6 linked regions of the Danio rerio genome follow. The protein of the gene in region 1 purifies or fractionates together with the protein of each later gene. This does not show direct contact. Links are inferred from orthologs where the notes say so. Each region holds a gene or a part of one and is shown in the gene's direction. Other genes may lie near its edges.

The links.
Region 2: the proteins of fbl (region 1) and rrp9 purify together in Homo sapiens (affinity purification with mass spectrometry; 3 studies listed by BioGRID and IntAct, counting the BioPlex papers as one, with this or other methods). This does not show direct contact. The link is inferred for Danio rerio from reciprocal best matches to the Homo sapiens genes FBL and RRP9.
Region 3: the proteins of fbl (region 1) and sirt7 purify together in Homo sapiens (affinity purification with mass spectrometry; 3 studies listed by BioGRID, with this or other methods). This does not show direct contact. The link is inferred for Danio rerio from reciprocal best matches to the Homo sapiens genes FBL and SIRT7.
Region 4: the proteins of fbl (region 1) and larp7 purify together in Homo sapiens (affinity purification with mass spectrometry; 3 studies listed by BioGRID and IntAct, counting the BioPlex papers as one, with this or other methods). This does not show direct contact. The link is inferred for Danio rerio from reciprocal best matches to the Homo sapiens genes FBL and LARP7.
Region 5: the proteins of fbl (region 1) and nop58 purify together in Homo sapiens (affinity purification with mass spectrometry; 7 studies listed by BioGRID and IntAct, counting the BioPlex papers as one, with this or other methods). This does not show direct contact. The link is inferred for Danio rerio from reciprocal best matches to the Homo sapiens genes FBL and NOP58.
Region 6: the proteins of fbl (region 1) and nolc1 fractionate together in Homo sapiens (co-fractionation; 3 studies listed by BioGRID, with this or other methods). This does not show direct contact. The link is inferred for Danio rerio from reciprocal best matches to the Homo sapiens genes FBL and NOLC1.

The regions. Positions count from the first base shown.
Region 1 is NC_133191.1:46,606,246-46,610,266, reverse strand, and holds the start of fbl (rRNA 2'-O-methyltransferase fibrillarin), read left to right. Parts: upstream 1-1,221; 5' UTR 1,222-1,313; coding exon 1,314-1,323; intron 1,324-3,034; coding exon 3,035-3,142; intron 3,143-4,021.
Region 2 is NC_133186.1:38,619,024-38,622,523, reverse strand, and holds part of rrp9 (U3 small nucleolar RNA-interacting protein 2), read left to right. Parts: intron 1-889; coding exon 890-982; intron 983-1,094; coding exon 1,095-1,195; intron 1,196-3,500. UniProt on the Homo sapiens protein: Component of a nucleolar small nuclear ribonucleoprotein particle (snoRNP) thought to participate in the processing and modification of pre-ribosomal RNA (pre-rRNA).
Region 3 is NC_133197.1:41,135,129-41,139,074, forward strand, and holds the start of sirt7 (NAD-dependent protein deacetylase sirtuin-7), read left to right. Parts: upstream 1-1,146; 5' UTR 1,147-1,158; coding exon 1,159-1,263; exon of another isoform or gene 1,264-1,616; coding exon of another isoform or gene 1,617-1,628; intron 1,629-3,375; coding exon 3,376-3,513; intron 3,514-3,946. UniProt on the Homo sapiens protein: NAD-dependent protein-lysine deacylase that can act both as a deacetylase or deacylase (desuccinylase, depropionylase, deglutarylase and dedecanoylase), depending on the context. Specifically mediates deacetylation of histone H3 at 'Lys-18' (H3K18Ac).
Region 4 is NC_133182.1:62,360,976-62,365,247, reverse strand, and holds the start of larp7 (la-related protein 7), read left to right. Parts: upstream 1-1,472; 5' UTR 1,473-1,528; coding exon 1,529-1,545; intron 1,546-1,549; exon of another isoform or gene 1,550-1,673; coding exon of another isoform or gene 1,674-1,690; intron 1,691-1,827; coding exon 1,828-2,036; intron 2,037-2,120; coding exon 2,121-2,221; intron 2,222-2,325; coding exon 2,326-2,409; intron 2,410-2,502; coding exon 2,503-2,667; intron 2,668-4,082; coding exon 4,083-4,179; intron 4,180-4,272. UniProt on the Homo sapiens protein: RNA-binding protein that specifically binds distinct small nuclear RNA (snRNAs) and regulates their processing and function.
Region 5 is NC_133181.1:10,596,748-10,600,247, reverse strand, and holds part of nop58 (nucleolar protein 58), read left to right. Parts: exon of another isoform or gene 1-59; intron 60-135; coding exon 136-260; intron 261-327; exon of another isoform or gene 328-410; intron 411-1,432; coding exon 1,433-1,569; intron 1,570-1,759; coding exon 1,760-1,824; intron 1,825-1,926; coding exon 1,927-2,061; intron 2,062-2,802; coding exon 2,803-2,948; intron 2,949-3,064; coding exon 3,065-3,191; intron 3,192-3,500. UniProt on the Homo sapiens protein: Required for the biogenesis of box C/D snoRNAs such as U3, U8 and U14 snoRNAs. Part of the small subunit (SSU) processome, first precursor of the small eukaryotic ribosomal subunit.
Region 6 is NC_133188.1:4,947,783-4,951,816, reverse strand, and holds the start of nolc1 (nucleolar and coiled-body phosphoprotein 1), read left to right. Parts: upstream 1-1,234; 5' UTR 1,235-1,249; coding exon 1,250-1,360; intron 1,361-3,626; coding exon 3,627-3,682; intron 3,683-4,034. UniProt on the Homo sapiens protein: Nucleolar protein that acts as a regulator of RNA polymerase I by connecting RNA polymerase I with enzymes responsible for ribosomal processing and modification.

The DNA.
Region 1 (4,021 bases):
TCACCATGAAAAAATGTTTCTCTTCTTATCTAAGTTGGTCCTCTTACAGATCGTAAAACTAGACAAACTGTTTAAACTTATGTGGCTATGTTACGATAATTTTTAACCATTTTTTTACTCAACTTTACAAGGCTAAAAGTGCCAGTAGTTGAAGAAATGGCCCAAATACACTTCCTGAGGCCAAAGACTATAGCTAGAGAGTTTTTTTTTTTTGTTTTTTTTTTACAAATGTAAGTTTATAGATATGAGGGGAATAAACCCAGAATAGACTTAAAAACAAAGATATGCCTTGAGCCTACGAGTGGACAACACAATGATGAGTGAGGGATTTAAGATAAGACTAAGATTTATTTAAGATACATTTTATAAGATTTCTTTAACTGTACCTATACATTACCTAAATGTACACTCATACATTTGTATTCATTTAAGTTAGAAAATATATTTCATTTAATTTGAATTGCATCTTTACACCCAATTAGTTGAGTTATTAAATAAATAACCAAAAAATAAATAAATAAATAACCCAACAAGGCACCAAGCATTTAACCCAACTAGTTGAGTTATTCATGAATGATTAAATAAAGGTTAAATATAACCCAACTAAGTACTAAAAATTTTTAACTCAACAATTGGGTTAAATAAATAACTCAACTTTTTTTAGAGAGCAGTCATCCAGTTTGTAAGACCCGGATAAAATCTTAAAATCATACTTCACCTGTATACCTTGAAAGACAATGGAATAATATAAGGGAACTTTTTACAATATGGAATAAACCGATGGTGGCACAGTGGCTGTAGCGCTGTCCCTTCACAGCAAAAAGGTCGCTGGTTCGAGTCCCGGTTGGGTCAGTTCTGGAGTTTGCATGTTCTCCCCGTGTTCCCTGTGGGTTTCCTCCGGGTGGTCGAGTTTGAGTGTGTATATTGATGTTTCCCTGTACTGGGTTGCAGCTGGAAGGGCATCCGCTGTGTATTAATTTAAGCAGAAAACTAGCCTATATTAGATTGTATTAGTAGTGTTGTTGATTTTATCGTTAGTCCTCACCATTTAGTAGCAAATAGCCGAAAAGTCTCTGGGAATTGAACTGAAAGGGCTCATGAAGGCAGCAGATTCATGATTGTAGCTGCAATGTTTCCCGCTAGATGGCGAAACAACGAGTAAAATCACGACTTTTTTTCAAGTGCATTGTGGGTAAAGACGTTCGACGCACATGTGGCCACCTGATCAGTGCAGCAGTAGACCGGAGGAAAAGCGGGTCTGAGTTAACGCCAGCTATTCGTACAGTTAAAACAACCGCACAAAATAAGATAAAATGAGACCAGGTAAGTTATGTACACATTTCGATTTTAAAAGCTAAAGTCAACGCTATAAAATATAATCCAAGTAACGCTGTTTATAAGTGTTGGTTTAGAGTTAGCCGGATGAGTTAGCCACGCACTTGCAGTTTTGTGAAAGAAACGCTCGTTCTCTTTAAATGTCATGGCATTGTTATTTAATTTATTACAAGCTTTGGTGTAGAATTGTTAAAAAGTGATTTTGTTGTAAATAACGTTATTTTTGTACATGTAAATAACGTTACACATGTTACAACGCTGCACGTGCGTGCGACCGAGCCATGCTGTTACACGCGGTGCTGAAGCCCCACATGGCTTTTAACTAGTTAGAGATAATAACCAGTTTGCTTTTGTTTCTGAAACTAGTTGTCTAGTTAATGTGTTTTATTTTAAATGGTGAGTTTTGTGTAACTTTATTCAACTTTTTGTACATTTGAGTTTGTGCGTTGTCGAGTTATTAGAAGTAACGTTAGAGGAATACACGTTTTTTCCTCTTGTACAATAAGTAGTTTTGTTGTTGTGGATGAACAAAGACATAAATACACCCAAAACAGAATGTATTTTGAGCGAGATGTAACTGTTGTTTGTTGTGTGGTCTCCAAAAGTGGGGTATATTCACATGGACTTGAGGTAAAGTTAGTTTTACATTCACACACAGGGACTTTCTCAAAAATATTATTTGCAAATTCTAAATAATGAAATCATTTTAGCAGCGAGTGACTATCAAAGTACAATATTGCTCACAGTTAAATGCGTAGTGCTTGTGTTATTTACAGTCAAATACAGTGTCAATGTATTCGAGTCATACTTGCTTGTAATTTCAGACCGAATATTAAAAGTACAAACGTTATAGTAAACAATATAGGAAACATGTCACAAGTTGTCACTGAATGAATGTGTGAATATAAACTTTTTCAATCATTTAACCCTCTTAATGCTGTCATTTAGCGCTCTAATATCATGACATTCGACTTCTTATTTGCCAAGAGAAGGGTTATTTTGTATTTATGAAACATCAACTAAAACCATGTTGTCTGAACAGCAGCTGTTCATTGAGTGAATGCAGAAAAGGTTTTTGCAATTATTTTTTATATTAAATATTAAAGATAGACTAAATTTTTTAATATGGATTTAATTGATTTTATATGGATTAAAGTTTTTATATGGATTCTGACTAAACTTTTATATTTTTTACGAAACGTTTTTGACACCTAATAGTAATTCATTCTAAAATGACACGAAATGAAAAGTAACTTCTTTTAATTGGTTCTGTACCAAATATATATGCTACAAATGTAACCATTAAAAAAAGTTAATATTTTGAGGCTTTTTAAGCATTTGGAAAGTTTTAGCTTTTTACAAAATGAATGTTTTGTTTTTGTATGTCTTCAGGCCCAAATGTGGTTACTAATGGATTTCATAAATTTGTGTGAATGCAATTTTGATTTATTAAAAGTTTCCATAAATGCAGTACAGCAGACTTGTTTTTGGTACTTCGGACAGTGCAAAGTTAAAAATGTGCTCTACCATACCACCCGGTGAAAACAAGAAACTATAAAAAATGTTTTTCTGGTTATTGTAAGGAGTCACTTGCAACTTTAAACTGGTTTAGTAATAGTATGATCCACAAATGCGTTTTTTCTCCTTTTCTTTTAAATGTTTTGCTCTTTCCCTTCATCAAAGTAATATTTCTCTTCAGGATTCAGCCCAAGGGGAGGTGGTGGTCGTGGAGGATTTGGTGGAAGGGGACGAGGCGGAGGAGACCGCGGAGGAAGAGGAGGATTTCGAGGAGGCAGGGGTGGTTTTGGTAAGCAGGATATTAAAGCAGTTTTATTTTACTCCCATATATATATATATATTGCATGTGCCTTATGGCTTTTTTTAAAAAAGAATTTAAAAGTGATTTTAAATGTGTAGAAAATCGTATTACATTTTAGCAAAGTGTATTTTATAAAAAAACAGTACTCTGGCTTAATTTATAAAATGATGAATGATTTTACAATTATACTACATATTAAATGATTATTTCCTTCGCACTAACAATGGTTTGAAAGATAGATAGATAAATAGAGCGTGGATATTAAGCATTGAACGCATCACCATTTTTTTTTTTTTGGAAAATGTATTTCTAAAGGTGCTGTTGACTTGAATCTTTCCCTGGATGTTAGTAACAAGCAAAAAATCCATATATGTAAAACAAATCTAATTAGTTTACAAATTAGGTTATGCCAAATAAAATGAAGTGAGCAGGGAAAAAGTATTGAACACATGAAGAAAGGGAACCACAGTGAAAGCCCAGGCAGCAGTTGAAATCTCTCAGTAGTTCTTCAGCAACCCTCTGCCCTTCCTCATTGTAAATTAATATTAGCTGCTTTAGTCTAAAATCTACATTATCAAGTAGGGTTGGGTTGATAGATGATGCCATCATCCATTGTCGATGACCGATAGACATCACAATCCTCCACCCCTGTCGCAAATCTGCTCGCAAAAAATACACACTCAGGCCCCGTTTACAAATGGCATTTTAGAACGAAAACGATCCATGTAAACTGGCGTTTCATCTAGCGCTTCCACATTATACCCCTGAAAACGCACATAACATGACCACAAACACACACAAGCACACTCTGTCATGCGCTGCAGTGTAGGCTATACACGCGTCTTAACGCTGAGCTCCAGCAGTCAC
Region 2 (3,500 bases), on another chromosome or scaffold:
CAGAAATCATATTTTACTATGAGTATTGAAGAGTTCAGTGACAAAAGTGAAAAATGTAAAGATTGTGGTTATCTGTTTTTTCCAATGAGCTTCTTATATACTTATAGATGAAATTACTTTTTTTTTTTTTTTACTTTCAAACATTAAACCATACAGCTATAGATTCTTTTTTAGGGTGTCCATGGGGTCTTAATGTCTTAAATCTCAAAAGCTTAAGTTTTAGGCCTTAAAGTCTTACATTTACTGAAATTTTGTGTTATGTCTTAAATCTTTTTTTAAACAGGTCCTAATTTTCCTTTGTTCATGTATTGCTACCCAATCTGACCATTAACACTCATAAAATCACCAACAATCCATCTCAATAATATTAAATTATAATAATTTTTTGATAGGGCACCCCATCTGAAATTTGAAAAATTCCTTAGCGTTTAGCTCTTAAAGAGCCTAACATTTCATTTGTATTGTTCTTAAAAATTTCTTAAAGTCTTAAACTTAGCAGAAACCCTGTTTATACTCTTAATACTTTGATTTCAAATTCATCTATTTTTGGACTACAAGCTTTTAAATCTTTCACTTTACAAATTGCTGTTTTGTGTTTTCAAATGCTCAAGTCACTTAAACTCTTAGCATTTAGAGAGATGGAGATATATGGATAATATTCTGCAAGCACTTATAAGCTGCTCAAGTCAAAAGATTATGGAGAAACATTCAGTGGATCAGATTGCATGTTTATATACACTTACAGTGCAGTTTAAGATTTAATCAGTGCAGACATTCTATCCTGAAATAAATTTACTAATGTTTATTTTAGGCCTGAGAGAGGTAGAGAGTTGGTTTGCTATTTGAGAGATTTCACTGATGTTTACTGATTGTTTTGTGTGTTTCATAGGCTAGCGGGGATATGAATAAACACATCATGATCTGGGATCCAGAGACATGTAAACATTTGTTCAAGTTTACAGGACACAGAGGTGCCATATCGGTGAGTAAACAAATACGAATATGTTTTGAATATGATGAAATGTCTGCCTTATATTTCAGCCCGCACATATTTGATTGAATATGTTTCTCATGCTCTTAAACTTTCTCGGCAGGGTTTGGCTTTTAGACGAGGGACTCATACTCTCTACAGTGCGTCACATGACCGCTCCATTAAAGTGTGGAGTGTGGATGAAAACGCCTATGTAGAAACTCTGTAAGTGCACATGTCGGTGTGTAGATCTGGGTATCAATTCAGATGTGCTGATTTCATTTCAGTTCACAACCTCTTGATTGGATTTATAGAATATAAATTTAACACAAAAGCTGTGTGATGTTGTTGTTAATATTATATCCGATGAATGGATGCATTAAAACTGAATCCAGCTCTGTTTATATTTTAATATTTTTTTTAGATATAAATGCTTGCGCACACGTATAGATATTGATAGATAGATGGATAGATAGATAGATAGATAGATAGATAGATGGATGGATGGATGGATGGATAGTAGGGCTGCACAATATATCACTATAATGGTAAAATTATCATTATCGTGATAATAGTATATGCAAAATAAAGACGTGTGTAATGAATTACATTTATTTTATGCATTGGTTGTTTATCTAAATTTGACCAATCAGATGGAGCCTTGCTATATCCCTACCTCTCTGTTAGTTGCTGTTTTACTATCATATCTGCCTACATTTGTGTTTGAAAATTTGTCGTGGTGGTGGGTGGAAGTTGGGGCGGGGATGGGGGGTGATTTGGAGTAGTTCTGGTGGGAGTGGTGGGGATGTCTAGGTGTCGGGGGTGAGGTTTCTGAATAACACTGCTAAGTAACTGTACTTTGCACCGGGTTTCAGGCAGCCGCTGCAATCGGATACTATACCACAGTCGCTGATCCGGGGTTGTTACAGACTGTACTAAAAAGCTGAGGACTGGAGGGGGTGGGAGTGAAAGAACGGTAGTTTTCTGGGAGAAATAACAAAACAGGAGGGTGGCGGGAGATGGGTCTAAAATAGGGGAGACTCCCAGGAAAAACGGAAGTGTTGGCAGGTATGTCTACTATTGGCTTGAGCAGCCCAAAGGTAAAGCCAGAGCTGAAAATAAACAATAATGACAGGAGTCAAGATGAGAAAGAAAAATAACAACAGCCAGTTACAGTCAGAAATATCTGACTTTCACTCAAGACTAAATGTTTGCACCTTCACCGTTTTTTAGTTTAAATTAGATCTGACAAGTATGTTTGAACTGTTTGTTAATATCTTGCATAAATTATTTAACATAGCTAATATTATAACTTTTTTTGGGAAATTATGTTATAAGTGGTATTGTTAATCGCAATACTCGACCACCTCGCGTATTTTCCAGTATTTTGCAGCCTTATTATACAGACCGAATGCATATGTTAATAAAACTTATCAAAGGTATTCAGCTAAAAGCTCTGAGTAAACATGGATGATGTTTCTGTATTGCTTTTATTTGAGATGTGATTGACTCTACAGGAATATTTTTATAAGGAAAAGTTGCATTGTGGTTCAATTACTGTACACAAAAACTGTTAGGCTATGTTCACCCTGCAAGGTTTAGTGCTCAAATCAAATTTTTTTGCATGGCTGTTCACATTGTTGTTATAGTTAACAGATGTGTAGTGATCCACATGCGCAAAAGCACACTACGGGGGCCACAAAATGTCATATTATAAACACAATGTATAATATACTGTATGAAGCACATTGTCAGATTATGCTTAATATGATTATTACCCTTTTCACAGACAACCGTGGTGTATTTAAGGAACTGTAAAGGGTTGTTCTGCTACTACTAATGTGTATTTCACCATTTAAAACCTAAAATAGGTCTCTTGTGATTGAAAACACTGATCATTTGTGATTTATGACAACCGCGGTGCGCGTCTTTCAGGCCACCGCTGTAATGAGCTCATCAAGGGTTAATGAGCAGCCGCAGACTGAACAGTGAAGGAGTTGGTTTATCTCCGTTTGCAGAGTTATTTCATTTTACATCGTTATAAACAACAGGCACATGCAGAAGGGAGGTTTGGCTGCTTGCCCTTTTTTTTCTCTCGGAGAGAATGTTCGTCCTTAAAATGAAAGTGCCTCTCCTTTGTGCATGGATCCCCTATCCACAACAACCCTCTTCGGCTTTGCTATCAACCCACGCCCCAATTGGTAACCAGATTGGGTAACAAGCACCAGTTTTGCCTTCAAAATATTTTTCAACATGAACAACCACGTTTCTGTGGTGAAGTAATTGCCCGGTGCCATTCTACTACGCTGCAGATTCATTTGGGCCACATTTGGCTGCAGTGTGAACGTAGCCTTAGACTCCCCTGAAGACTGTCAAATAGAGCTATTCAAACCATCTTATGAAACTATTCATATTGCAATACTTATTGCAATACTTGCAAATGATGTAATTTGTATTGTGTATCGGTCTGTTCAAAGTAAAATAAGCCGGAAAGTGAATTTAACTCTTGCAGACCGAATTCTTATATTCT
Region 3 (3,946 bases), on another chromosome or scaffold:
GTTTTTGGTTATAAAGTTTGTGGACATAAGAACGGTCTAATACTAAGATTCATCTTTCCAAAATAAAACTTTAAATCTTGCAGATTCCTAACTTTAGTGTGGTAGTGTATGTGCAAACACTGCTGCAAATATAAATCACAATTGTATTATTTAATTTACTCGTCTTTTTTAAGGAACTGTAAGTGTAACAATGTTTATGATAATGATGAAACAAAATAATAATATTAATAAAATAAATAAGTAAATAAAAATATTAATAAAAAGGCAAATATGATTGAAATCTTTATAGGTTTAAAAAAAAGATCAATTAATGAAAATCTACAATTACACTCATTCAGACCTGTACTCATTACAATGGATAAACACATTAGTGATCATATCATATTTAAATAGACTTTATTACAAACATTTTGCTGATAAAATAGGTAAAACCTTGTGGTGTTAAGCAAAGTGGCATATCCAAAGCATACCAATGACAAAACTTATTATTAGACTGAAGTACAGCTCAGTGTTTCTGCTCTCAGCCATAAACAAACTCTAATACAACTTATACCTTTAGATAAAGCATGTGGTAGAAATATAAACAGTAAATCAATTTCAACAACAACATTAACATAAATGTTTACCTGCAAAAACAAATAAACAAACAAATAATGCGATTAAACTAAGGAGAAAGACATTAAAAATACAAAGAAAACAGCTGAACACAATTAAACATCGCGCATTTTACACTCACCTTAAAATGCTGATCCCTGTACTGGCTCACATCAACATAGGAGTCGCTGAAAAGAGCATTTAACTTTATGGACATTGTGAAAAAAGCAAATTAATTGAGGAAAAGTGAAGCTGGACGTGTTTAAATCAGCACGACACACAAAGCGGAAAGCGCTCTTCTTCATATGTGCATGACACCGGCTCACACTGCTTTACCGCCACCTACTGTTGAGAGCAGCTAAGGCTACGACATTGTTGATTACCTTTGCCTACTACTTAAATAATTTAAGCAACAATTCATTGAGCAAAACAGTAGTGCGAAGAGACAAATAAACAAATATTTCCCACTATTATTTGACTTTACATTTCTTCTTCTCGTTTGTCTCCCGCTTTTCCTCGCGATAAGACCGCGAGCAGTCTGTGACGTCATCTGCGATATCCAACATGGACGTGCGGATAAACAGCGGCGTTTCTGCTCGAGCAGAGAGAAAAGAGCAAGAAAAGGCCAAAATAATCCAGCGAGAGAAACAACGGCAGACTATGAAGACGGTATGAAAACATTACAAATAATCCATATTCATATGAACTGAATCTGCGATGTGGTACACAATTAAAGCCATACAGCCGGTGCTAATCAGCCGTTGCCCCTCATTCCCATGGTAACCACAGGATCTATCACTAGCGTAATTACAGTAGGGAAGCTGATGGTCAGTCAAGATGAGGCAGACTGTACAACCTGTAAAGACGCGGTTTACTGTGCTAAATAGGGATTTGCCCTCATATTTGGTTCAATATCTCTTTATGAGGGTTAAAGGACCAGTTGTAAGAAAATAACCCATATTTGATATTCATCCTGCTGAAATAAACAAACAAAACAACAGGAGACCACCACAGAAGACTGAATGGGTACTGAGGTAGAGTTGGTTTATATTCGCACATTCGTCCATTAAGAAGTCTCTATATTGTTTACCATGTTTCCTTGAATATTCAGTCAGTATTAGCATGCCAGTGTGACTTGAAAGCAACATGAACACTATCTGGTAGACTGATCAATGCTGTACTGTGATCATTAATAGCTGCTAATGTGGTTTCCTTCTTTAGAATTTGCAAACAACACTTTCCTGACATGATATTATTAAAGAGAAGGTCTGAATGTCTGAATATAAAAGCAACTTTAGCTCTATGGAATGGGTTTGATTATATTTATAATGGAGGTGTTTAGGTCACACTCCTCCTCTGTGCACCGGGCACTTTGTTTGAAACACTTCTGTTTCTGTTTGTACAGAATATAATGATAATGATAGCTCCTCTACATGTTTATACTTGTGCCCTTTTCTACAGCCACATACTCTATATCTAAAGTCTTCAAATATATTATATTTGCTTTTATTTTCTGTTGCATAACCTCTACTTCTCATAATTTCTATTCTTATTATTATTCTTATTCTTATTATTATTATTATTATTATTATTATTATTATTGTCATTATGTTTAAGGTCATGAGTGGTTGAGTAATGCCGAGTTCAGACTGCAGGATTTTAGCCCTGATGTTGACTTGTCGAGAGGTTTCTACCATAATCTATGCAAAAGTTATTCAAACTGACGAGAGAACGGAACCACTAATGGGTGTATTGGGCCAGTACAAACCTTTAAAATTGAAAGAGTTCTGAAGTAAATGACTTGACGGACCGGTACCAGAGCTTAGGAGGTGTATTGCACACATTTTATTCATCCATTTTCTGTTAGTCCTTTTATTAATCAGGGGTCGCCACAGCAGAATGAACCGCCAACTTATCCAGCATATGTTTTACACAGCGGATGCCCTTCCAGCTGCAACCCATCTCTGGGAAACACCCATACACACTCATACACTGAGGCCAATTTAACCTACCCAGTTCCCCTATAGCGCATGTGTTTGGACTGTTGGGTAAACCGGAGCACCCGAAGGAAACCCACGCCAACACGGGGAGAACATGCAAACTCCACACAGAAACGCCAACTGGCCCAGCTGAGACTCAAACCAGTGGCTTTCTTGCTGTGAGGTGACAGCACTACCTACTGCGCCACTGTGTTGCCGTCCACACATGTTATGTTAAATTGAATGCAAATGTGACAGGACTGACCGAAACACAGGACAATTGTACATTTAATTGTGTTATAAATTTGTATAAAGGTTATTTATAATTTCAGTTGAAGGGAATCATAATAAGTAAATAACTAAATAACAACTATTTTTTTTCTAAATAACAGTTTTTAGCATAACAAATCTATTAATTCTGTAGGTTTATTTGGGCTGACGACAAGGACAGGGTTAGTAAATTTCTAAAGTGTTTTTAATAAACAACAAAAATCAGAATAACTGAAATCAAGCCCATTTTAGACATTTTTGGGATGAAACACTATTTATTCACTGTATTTGTATTTTGATGGACAGATAATGTACAGTATTGGTCATATGTCCTGTAAGCATTTCCCTGCATGTCATATGATGCATGACTGTGTATGTGACTAATACAATGTGAATTTTACCATTAGACCCTTAATAACATGGCTCCTATATTTAATTTCAGCAGCTTTACAGTAATCTGTCTTGAGTTAATAATATCTATGGAGGACCAAACTTGCAAAAATTAAAAATAAGAACAAACTGATTGTTCCAGATCTCGAAGATCCTCCAGAAGTGTGAGTCTGAGTGGACAGAGGAGGAGCGGTCGATGCTGCAGGCGCATCAGGACACCGTGCAGGAGCTGAGCCGACGACAGAACCGCAGACACCTGCTCAAGAGGAAACAAGAGGAGGTACAGAGTGTGCTGTAAACTAACGCTGAACATTATATTATAATATGTGTGTCTACAATAGTTTAACATTAAAATATATGATTAAATATTGCTGAATAAATCATTCATATAATAAAGACCATGTTATTTTACGTTTGATTGTTTAATTTATGTATTTGAATACCGTCAGACTCCCCAGAAAGCCATGAAGCACTGTTCATTTCACTTTTATTTTTGCACTTTTCTTTTATTAGTTTTAGTTATAAAAAGTCTTGGTTTCATTAGGTAATGCTTGTTAATGTATTTACTAACATGAACTTATGAACGATATTTGTACAACATTTATTATTCATAACTCAACCATGTACTCATGCATTATAGACATCCACATTTGTGTTTGTCAACATTAGTTAATGTGAAGTAACAAATCCACAACTGAATTTTCATTAACTAA
Region 4 (4,272 bases), on another chromosome or scaffold:
TTTAATTTATATAACGGATTCATTTAATGAAGGAAGTAGCAAGTTAATATCGGCAATAATACATTTTATATGTAATAAAAATCTTTTTACATGTAACAAATGTATAACACTAAATTAATATTTTACTCAAGCGATTTAATAGTGTTTATTTTCTTATTTTTTTAATAACTTTTTAATAAATGATTTACCACATTAAATACTGTAGTAATCTATAGTAAGCAATATTGTTTTTAAACCAAAATTTAGCAGTAAAATCAAATAACTATTAATTAATAAATAAAAAAAGTAATAAATATAAATTTATCCAGGGATATCGAGGGAAAGCGGGAGGTTGCCGCTTGGCATAGATATATACATTAAATGTCGCCTACCCTGTTGTTGTCTATTGAAAAGAATGCCGCCATTTTGGAACAGGGTAGCGCTCCTTTGAAATAAATGCGGGACCAAGGTACAGTGGTGGAGGACTGTGGCCATCCAAAGCCAGAGATCTACACATATATCTATGATCGGGAGTTTTCCTGGATGTTAGTATGCAAATTAATTTTTAAATTACGAAATTATCATTTTACATCACTTTTCTACATTGATGGATCAGTGATCGCATTGGCATTCCTGACAAAAAGCTTGTGTTTGTGTATTCGGAAATGTACAATCTACCCTCCTTGTTAAATTTGATCTAATCCGTGCCCTGAAACACACCTCCTCTCCTGCTTTTACTACTCATACGGAGGGAGCGATTCGTTTGTGAATGAATTTCCCTTATGAACGACTCATCTCGTTGTCATATTTCTTTTGCATTGTTTGCTGATTTTATTCAACAAAACTAGCATAAGCCGAGTATTTAGTGCGAATTGGAGCTACTTTGCCTTATGGTGAATGCAGTAACGTTAAGTGATTGATTATCATCAATAACGTTACCTGTTTAGCACAAAAGTTCATAACATACAAAAACGTAAAAACTTAATCTTACCTATGAAATCTTCTGCCTTTGTGCTTTGTTTTCGTTTGCTCGTTACTACACCCGTAGACAGCGCTAAAGTCCCGCATCTTCACGTAATAATACTGTCTTGACAAGTGCGGTTGAATGACATTTGTCCTAGGAGCACTGCACCAATGTGGCGGCGCTATTGACGCATGATCAGGGTCCCTATGCGATATCTAGTGTATATATCTATGGCCGCTTGGTTGCACCCTTACAGTCATTGGTCGCACCATGGCACATTTGCTATTGGTGGACTTTGTAAGTGTAAAAACTAAGGATAATCAAGGTAAGGATTAAAAAAGCAACTTAGTAAAAATAGGAATGTTCTCAGGAATGGGGATTGTGGGTTCTGAAACGTCTGTGCTCTGTGGGTTTGTATTTATCTTCGGAGGGCGATATATCAAATTCCCTTTAGCAATCCCTGCTATGACATATAACAACAAAAGATGGCAGTAGTTGGACAAAAAGGTGCAAGCTGTCGGTAGAATCCAGAAGAAGAAGAAGAAGAAGCAGCAGCAGCAGCAGCAGCAGCAGCTATTAAAGAAAATGAGTCGTCGGCATTGGTAAAATTCGTAAACGAACGATTTGCTTTGAACTAAGTTTATTAGTGTTCTGCTATAAAAGTATCTTACAATAATAGTATGACCATATAAATTGGTGATGTGTGTTATTTTAGTAAAGTAATAACTGGATGAAAGTGTGTCAACGGTAATGTTAAGTGATTATTATTTAAGTTAACTGGGAGAGCGGGAATGTTAAGACAGAAATGTGAAACGGATACCCAGCTCGACGTAATTGTTATTCAATTTCAGATATATAATTTTATGACTTTGATTCAACCATAGCAAGACGATAGACACAGAGAAGATGTCTTCTGTCGGGGACACCGCCTGTGCAGACTTGAGTGAGAAAAAAGATAACGAGAAAAAGAAGAGATCCCGGGTGAAACAGCTGCTGTCTGATGTGAAGAAGCAGGTGGAATTTTGGTTTGGTGATGTGAATCTTCACAAGGACAGATTCATGAAGAGTATCATTGAGCAATCACGAGATGGATGTATGTAACTTTATTAATTGTATGATTATCTGTCAGGATACCCATCATTCGTACATATTTCACTTAACATTTTATATATTGCAGATATTGACATTGCCGTCCTGACAACGTTTAACCGAATGAAAAACCTAACTGCAGATGTCAAATTGATAGCCAGGGCTCTTAAAAACTCAACAATAGTAGAGGTATGATTTGGTTTGACAATTTCTTGTCCTTTATAAAATGAATTTTATTTCAGAATTATCCACTTACTTTGTTAGCAACTGTAACACAGCTGTGGTGTGCTTAGGTTAATGATGAGGGAACTCGTATACGACGAAAGGAACCACTTGGTGAAACCCCAAAAGATGTGGACAGTCGCACAGTTTATGTGGTAAATTACTACAAATAAGTATACATAATAATGCTAGCATACTGTATGTGTCATTTCAATGTGTATTCTCTTAAAATTGAAATTGTGTTTTAGGAGCTGTTGCCAAAGACAGTCACTCACATTTGGCTGGAGCGAGTGTTTAGCAAATGTGGACATGTGGTTTATATTAGTATCCCCAGGTACAAGTCCACAAGGCATTCTAAAGGATTTGCATTTGTGGAGTTTGAGACGCAAGAGCAAGCACAAAAAGCTGTTGAGGTAACTGTTGATAACTTTAATATTTTATATAATTTATTGGGCTCTATTTTGACGATCAAAGTGCAAAGCACAGGGCGCAAACGCATTAGGGGCGTGTCAGAATCCACTTTTTCTAATATAAGAATGGAAAAACCCGATTTGCGCCATGGCGCATGGTCTTAAGCTTATTTTCTCAAGGAGTTATGGTGTGTTTTGAGAATAAAGCAATCAGAGTCTCATCTCCCATTCCCTGTAATATTCAGTTGCATCGCGCCATAGCGCATTTGCTATTTACATGACGTAAAGTAAGAGGAAAAACTGAGCATTTTACTAGCAAGAAAACAGTTAAACAGAGCGTCTGCAGCATAAGAATAAGAGATAAGACCTTCTCATTATCGACTTTCACTTTTGCTCTCGTGGATCGTAAACCTTGTATGCACAGACATCAATTAGCCTATAAATAATTAGTTTTGTTCATTAAACGCAATGATTTGTTTCAAAACTATTTCTTAATTCAGTTCTAATTTCCAGCAAATGAATAAATGAACAATATTAACAAAGTGTGTTCAAACAACTGAATTATATCCTAATACACATGCTATGCCCCATATGGCCTAAAACTTGACAGGTGGATAAATCTAAGCTTGTTTTTAATAAAACAAATATAAATATACATATAATAAATAATACAGCTAATAATAATAACATTGCACAAAAGCAAATAGTCATGAATGAACTAAAGAAGCCTCCCGAGATGAAGAAGGCATGCATGGAAGTATGGTTTTTATATTTATGTGGGCTAGAATATAATATGTTTTGTAATATTTTAATCCTTTATATTTTTATCTTATATTTATATCCTCAATATATCCTATTTATATATCCTTAGTACTTTAATTCTTTTTCATATGTAAAGATATTTGCGTATTGCTCTACATCTTGTGTGTATTAAGCAATGTGTAAGTGAGGCGCACAACTAACGCATTCTGAGCTGGACAATGGACCGGCTTTGTTCTGGTCTATAGAACAGACTATTATAGTTACTCAAAATAGCAACGTGCCAGCAATGAGCCTCAACGCGCCTTCCTTTTTAGACCAGAACACCTATGGGCGCACATATGAGCGCAAATGCATTTGCTATTTAAACAGCGTGGCGGAAAACTTCAAAACGACTCTTGTGCCAAAGCTTAAACTAGCAAACAACAATTGCGTCAGGCCTTGTGCCACATTGCGCCGGGTGTATGATAGGGCTCATTGTTATTAAATACAGAAAAGATAATGTAAATACAAACACCAAGTTGCTAGCTTTGGGTATACACACCCATTTTTTTATTTTTATGTTTATCATATTTTTGGTTTATTATTATTATTATTATTATTTTATTCTATTTTATTATTTTTTTAATTGTTTATTTATTTATGATTTAAAATGACAGATGCTGAACAATCCTCCAGAAGATGCTCCAAGGAAGCCAGGAATCTTCCCAAAGACTTGTAGGAAAAAGGCTGTCCCTTTTGATGCTGTCACACAGGGTAACATTGATATGCCTTATGTATTTTGAAAATACTGCCTAAATTAATTTGACAATATTTTAATGTAAAAGAGGGCAGTGGCCAGTTGATGTC
Region 5 (3,500 bases), on another chromosome or scaffold:
CAATTCAACCATGAGGTCACCAAACAGTTATTCGTCACTACCACTGAGACCACAATTATCTTACTCTTAATGTATATAGTGCAAGACAAAACAGATATAAGAGTATTCACTTTCAAAATCCTTGTGCATCTTCAGCGGCCACAGCCATGGTGGAGGGCAAACTGGGGAAAAGTCTGAAGAAAGTTCTGAAGAAGGTTGTGGCCAAAGAGGCTCACGAGCAGCTGGCCATCACTGACGCTAAACTGGGAGGAGTCATTAAGGTAAGCTGCAGGATTTCAGGTTTTAATGTGCTGAAATGATACTGCAGATATTTGGACTGTGAGAAACAACAAGCTGTGATGATGATGACCATGCGTCATTTTGCTGAAAAATCATGAGGCTTTTTTGTCACTACCTCATCTGAGCTTGTTTATTTCTCAAGGAGTCATTTATTAAAGTTAATTTTTTTTATCCTATTACTTTAGATCCTTTTAGTTTGTTTTACACCACCTAATATCACCATATTCAGGCTGTTAATTACTTTTTCAACTGCCTGTTAACATTTATGTGAGTAAATATATTCAGTTTGAATGCACCGTAAATATGCTGGCTTCCACAATTAGTTTGTGTTGGGACAAAATGAAATGAATAGTCTTTACAAATTTAGGTGGATTGAAGAAAACAGTAAGGTTTGCCCTAAGAATCGTTGTTTCAGTTCATTTTAAATGAGTAGTTTGAACACACAGCATATGTTTCAGAATATCTTTACCTACAAATCACTTAAAACATGTCATACATTTGGACTATTTTGTGCTAATTTTTAAAAATGATCTAAGTAAATAGATTTTTGGAATGCATTGGGAGGGTTAAGCAGTAGAACGGACACTGGTTCAGTTTCAATATTACCACTCTTGTGCACTGTAATGGGATATGCACATGGTATTTTCAGTAAACCAGCTCAATCCCTTCTGATGAACTTTTGTTCTGCCACTACAAAATAGCCACATTAAAGATTTGGGTTTTATTTTTGTTTTGTTTTTTTCCCCCAAAACTCTGATGTTCCATGCCTGACTAAGACACAATATGAAGTGGGTCTAAGACTGAACAAGCAGGACTGCGTTATTTCAGTTATTCTGTGCCATGTCTTTAAAATAGGAGTATATATTTTGACAGTATTTTCAATGGTATTTTAGTGATCGTCTGCTGATCCTCATGGTGCCTTCATCTCGTTTTGCGCCTGAAGAACTAAATCAATAAGATTAGTAAGCTGATTATAAGTTAATTACATTACATCAGTAATGTTGTAAAAGGGAACTGTTTGAAATTAAAAATAGTCAAATTATCCTTTTACCTGATATTTATAGGTGGCTGTAAAGCACTAGCTTTGCTTATACCACATTGCTTTAGGACAACCTTTTCTGTGTCCACTGAGACTCTCTGTCGCCCCCTGCAGGAAAAGCTAAACCTGAGCTGCGTGCACAGTCCTGCCGTCGCTGAGCTCATGAGGGGCATCAGAAACCAGATGGAGGGGCTCATCACAGGTCTTCCTGCCAGAGAGATTGCTGCCATGTCTTTGGGTTTAGCTCACAGGTTAGTTTATAGTTTACACTTGATCGAATGCACTCTATGCTCATGTCGATGATTATTTTGTGCTGACTGACTTTTCTGACGATATTCTTCAGCCTTCGTCACTACCACTGAGACTCTGAGCAGATATTCATTTTTCTTTACATATGCAAGGTTTGTTCAGCAATTGACTGGTTTTCATTGCATCTTCTAGTCTTTCACGTTACAAGCTGAAGTTTAGCCCAGATAAGGTGGACACCATGATTGTTCAAGCAATCTGTAAGAAACATCTTTATTTACATACTATTAATTAGTATAAGTTGGCCTTTTTTATAGATGAAGTTTTTTAATGAAATGTACACTTCACTTTTTCACCTGCAGCTCTGCTGGATGATCTGGATAAGGAGCTCAATAACTACATCATGCGCTGCAGGGAATGGTACGGCTGGCACTTTCCAGAGATTGGCAAGATCATCACAGATAACCTGGCATACTGCAAGACTGTCCGCAAGATTGGTTAGTTCTTCCAGCAAAAGCATCCATATTTCGGTTTTCCTTACAAAGTGTGTTGTGCATGTGAAAGGTGTGTGAGTCACACCGATAATACAAATTAAATATAAATATACAAGTTAGAGAATTAAAATCAAATTAGATTTTAAAAAAATTAAGTTTGCTCATTTTATGCAAGTCCAAACTCATCTTAAAGGTAAATTAAAGCTGAAAGATTTATGTCCCTGAATTGTATGTTTTATCCTGACGTTTCAAAACTTTAGGAGATCAGAAATCTAAATTATCCTAGGATGAGTTTTAACTAAATGTTTTCTGGCATAACACACATGCTTTATATGATTAAACTGTATTTCTGGCTTACATTCACATTAAAACAAACAGAAGCTTAGCCATACCGGTTTGTTGTGTGAGCAAACTTACCAGAACTTCTCATCAAATTTGAATGGTGTAAACATTGTCCCCTGGTGTTTATATGTGTGTTAAAGACTAAATTATTTCTATACATCATAAATAGCCATCGCATTTCTTTTGAAGACTTCAATCTAAAAGCTAATTTTATTGTGATTCATTGTTTATAAGTATAAGAGTATTTATAAAGCATCAGTTTTGGAAGAGACTTTTTGTAGAGTGGCTGCAATCTTTAGATTCAATTAATATCCTCATATTCTGCTATCTGAATAATGAATTGACAGCTAAAGCTAAGGTTTTCAATGATAAAATGTTGTCTTTTTTTCATTCATTGTTTAGGTGATCGGACAAATGTGGCGACGACAGAGCTGTCTGAGTTTCTGCCAGAGGAGATTGAGGCGGAGGTGAAGCTGGCTGCAGAGATCTCGATGGGCACAGAGGTGTCTGAGGAGGACATTGCTAACATCATGCACCTGTGTGACCAGGTGTGTTAAACAACAGTTTGGCTGAAGCATCTTGAGTTTATATTGGTTTGCAGGATTAACTGTTTTTATCAATAGTTAATCTGTAGTTGATTCATATTTTTCCTCTCTACTTCCAGGTTATTGAAATATCAGAGTACCGCACACAGCTGTATGATTATCTGAAGAATCGCATGATGGCGATTGCACCAAATCTCACAGTCATGGTGGGAGAATTGGTGGGAGCCCGTCTCATTTCTCATGCAGGTGAGCTCTGGATAGCTGAAGAAAATTAGGTGTAACATTTGATACATTCTGTTTTTCATGACTGGATTGTGATTGGTACAATATGCTTTTTTGGGGGGTAATTGGTTTTCATTTAGAGTTTCAGAGATCCAATTGAAGATAAATGGAGTTACTGTTAACTAAATCTACAAGTTATTCTAAACTCCTCAATATGTCCAGTCTTCCTGAGCAAGCAATTGTAGGTTTGTAACAAATCTGCCTAAAACTTATTGAGTTCCTTAGTTGTATGTGAGGTTGTATGTGTATATGAAACTCATTTAAGTAGCTGGG
Region 6 (4,034 bases), on another chromosome or scaffold:
TTGGGTGTGATGTTGGACATTACTGTATAAGGAAAACAATTCAACAGGTAATGTACTTCTTAAAGAAACTATTGTCTTTTAATGTTGACAAAACATTGTTGATCATGTTTTATAGCGATTTTATTGAAAGTATTACAACATTTTGTGTGATATGTTGCTTCTGCAGCCCAGAGGAGGTAACTGGGGAAGTAAAAACAGCCAGTACGTTGTTGGGAATATAACTAAAGAGCATTAATAGTATATACAAAGAAAGAGTACTAAATAACCCTGCTGAAAAATCCAGCTTAAACCAGCCTAGGCTGGTTGGCTGGTTTTAGCTGGTTGACCAGCCTGGTTTTAGAGGGGTTTTGGCCATTTCCAGGCTGGTTTCCAGCCATTTCCACCCTGGTCTTAGCTGGTCAGGCTGGAAAATAACCAGCCAAATCCAGCTAAAACCAGCTTGACCAGCCTGGTTTAAGCTGGACATAGCTGGTTTTGGTTGGACTCCCAGCTTGGCTTGACTGGTCAAGCTGGTTTTAGCTGGTCATCTCCCAGCCTGACCAGCTAAGACCAGGCTGGAAATGGCTGGAAACCAGCCTGGAAGTGGCCAAAACCCCTCTAAAACCAGCCTGGTCGACCAGCTAAAACCAGCCAACCAGCCTAGGCTGGTTTAAGCTGGATTTTTCAGCAGGGAAGGCTGTCATGATTGTCAATGATGAGAGGCATCCTTTGTTACCATCAAGTCATCAATATTGTGTTCTCAGATATTTTGAGAAACAGGACAAAATTATAATTTGTACCTCAAGCAATTAAGTTTTGAAATTCCTTGAGGGCTAGTAGACTGGATATTTATTTAGAGTAGGGTACAATGTTTTATACGATTTATTTATATAAATGTGAAATGTCTCTAAGTGTATGCTGCATGAAATTTCCCTACGGGGACAAGTAAAGTTAACTAACTTAATTTTGGGGATTTTAATAAAAATGGATAAGAGAGGTATTAACATTTTCCAATTCATGTAGATCAAAACATTTAAAACCAAAGTGACATCTGAGCCGATTTGAAGGAAGTCTTTCAATAAAAATGTACCTTAAATTGCATTCTTAGTAGCATTTTAGATCTCTGATACAATAAAGCTACATTAATGATACAATGAAGTGTCTAAAATAGCATGTTTAGCATGACGCACTTATTGTGCGCCATTTTCCGAGCCTCCACGTGACGATGAAATAACCTATCGCGCTCCTCCTCCACGTGAGTGCAACGAAGATGGCGGAGGACAGCACGGTGCCTAGCGATCTCTACCAACATGTGTACTCGTTTCTCGTGGAAAACAAGTTCGCCAAAGCCGCGAAGGAGTTTTTGAGGCAGGCTAAAGTGGTAAGAGTTGCTTCAGTTGTTTGTTTGGAGTGGTCACGCGCGTGGAGGTTGTTAACGCTTAGCTCGGTTTTTTTCTGCACACGCGTGGGAGCGAGTCGCAGTTAGTGCGGGACACGTGTTTACGAGCTGCTGTAGATTATGTGTTAAATAAGGTTTCATTTCTGCCGGTCGTTGTGTCATTTTACCCTGTTATAACACAGCTAAGCGTTTTTGTACATGCAACCTTTTTTTCTTTGTAAAAACTGAATTTGATTCACTGAAGATGGGCTTCGGGTTCTCAGCAGGTTCAGTCTTGTCTGGACTGCATATACTAGAGTAATAAAGTGATGTATTTGGGTAAAGTTGGTTTTTATATTCGCACATTCAGAATATCTCCTCAATGATATAATTTCAGAAAATAATACTTAACAAATTCTAAGTAGTCATTGGCTCCTAATATGATTTCCCATTGAAAGTACAGCATTTTCACAGTTAAGTAACTAGTGCTTTGGTTGTTTTTTTTAAACATTTTTTTATTGGAGAAAAACACTTGAAATTTAACATGAAAATACACTTGTTTTTTTTTTTAATATATTTTTTTACACTTCCCCCTTCCCACCCCCAAAGCATCCACGTTCAGTATAGCAGGTAGATGTATTGGTATAACGTTACATGGGCTAAGGTAAAGAAAAACATACTGTATTCCACAAATAAAAATACACATGTCAATCAATTAATCAATAGTGTGAGAGGTATTTGATTGTGCCATTGTATAGTTATGTTCCAAAAATTGTATAAACAGATCCCAAATTTTATGGTACTCCTTTAATTTGCCTTTTATACTGTAGGTTATTCTTTCCAGTGCAATGTAATGTGTCAAATCTTTTAGCCAGTGATCAATCGATGGACTTTCTGTGTTCTTCCAATAGAGTGCTATCAAACGCCTTGCAATAACAAGACACATATCAATCATTTTAGTTTTATAACCTGATAATGACAAACCTACAGGAAATAAACCCAAAGCGCATATATTGGTTTTAAAATAATTGATGAAATTAATGTTATTACATTTTGCCAGAAATTCTTAATCAACTCGCATTCCCAGATACAATGAAAGAATGTTCCTTTATGTTTTTAGCATTTGAAATGTATATCTGGGATGTTTGGGTTAAACTTGTTTAGTTGTTCAGGTGTGATATAAGTGCGCATTGCCCAGTTATATTGGATCATTTTAAATCTAGTATAATTGACAAGTTCTGGGCTTTAACACATTTGGCTCCATTCTAAATCTGTCAGGTCAAATTGTAAATCTGTACACCAAGAATCTTTCTTAGATTCTGATGTTTCTTTAGAGCCATTGACTAATTTGCTATAAAACAAGGAAATATAATTTGTCATAGGATTCTGATAAAACATTATTTTTTCGCTTGTGGTGTTTTAGTCATACTTGCATGCTATTTCAGACCAAATATTCAGAGTAGCATGGTAAACAATATAAAGACCGTGTCAAAAGTGTTCACTCTTCAAAAATAAACGAAAGTGCGAATATAAAGCCAACTTTACCTCAGCTGGAGAGTCATTGTTTTTCCATGGTTTGATCATGATTTATGAATTGTAATTGTTTAAACCAGGGATGTCCAAATTCGGTCCTGGAGGGTCGATGTCCTGCATAGTTTAGCTTCAACTTGCTTCAACACATCTGACTGGAAGTTTGTAGTAACTTATTTCTAGAAAAAGAGCTTGATTAGCTGGTTCAGGTCTGTTTAATTGGGGTTAGAACTAAAATATGTAGGACATTGTCCCTCCAGGACCGAGTTTGGACACCTCTGGTTCAATAAAATTGAACAACAGAGCTAATATGTAAAATAAGTGTAGTAAATTAATCAATGTGTTATGTCACCACAGAGAAGTCTGCTTCAAACTCTCTTACATTATTGATAATATTTGAGGTGAAGTTGGTTTTTATATCCGCACATTCATGCTTTCAAAAATCATATTAGCAGCCAACTACTATCAACACCGTTCACAGTCAGTTAAATGGTGCTAACGTTGATTTGAAGTCATACTTGCATGCTATTTTAGACCGAATAGTATGGTAAACAATGTGTCAAGTTATCGCTGTTAAAAATAAACGAATGTGTGATGTGTAAAATGTGTAAAACCAACTTAACCTCAGTTTAACACAATGTTTACATTTCATGTATTAAATGTTTAATATTTAAGTTCTTCAAATTTTTTTTTTTGATACACTCAATATAAATTGCAATCAACTTTTTGTTTTCATCAGAAACCTCAAGACCAAAATGAGGACAGTCTTATGGACATCTTCAATTTCTGGGTCAAGTATGTATATGTTGTGTCTTCATTATTACTATGATCTCTGTACCTCGATCTAGCCCAGGGATTCTCAACCGGTGGGCCTCAGGGATCCTGCAGGTGGGCCACGAAACGTAACTCAATATTATACTAGAATTTCAGGATTTTACTATTAATATGCTATATTAAATGACTGAAGTAATGCACTTTCTCCTGTTCGCTTATTGACTATTTCAAACTTGGTGCAAAAAAAGCCTCATGATTGTGTCTGCAACTAGTACACGCAAGTCTGTTCATTCACAATGCGTGAAGTGAAAGTCTCTCTTTGCGCATTTTTGTGTTAACTATTTAATATATCTGCAGTTGTCCAAAAGAATGT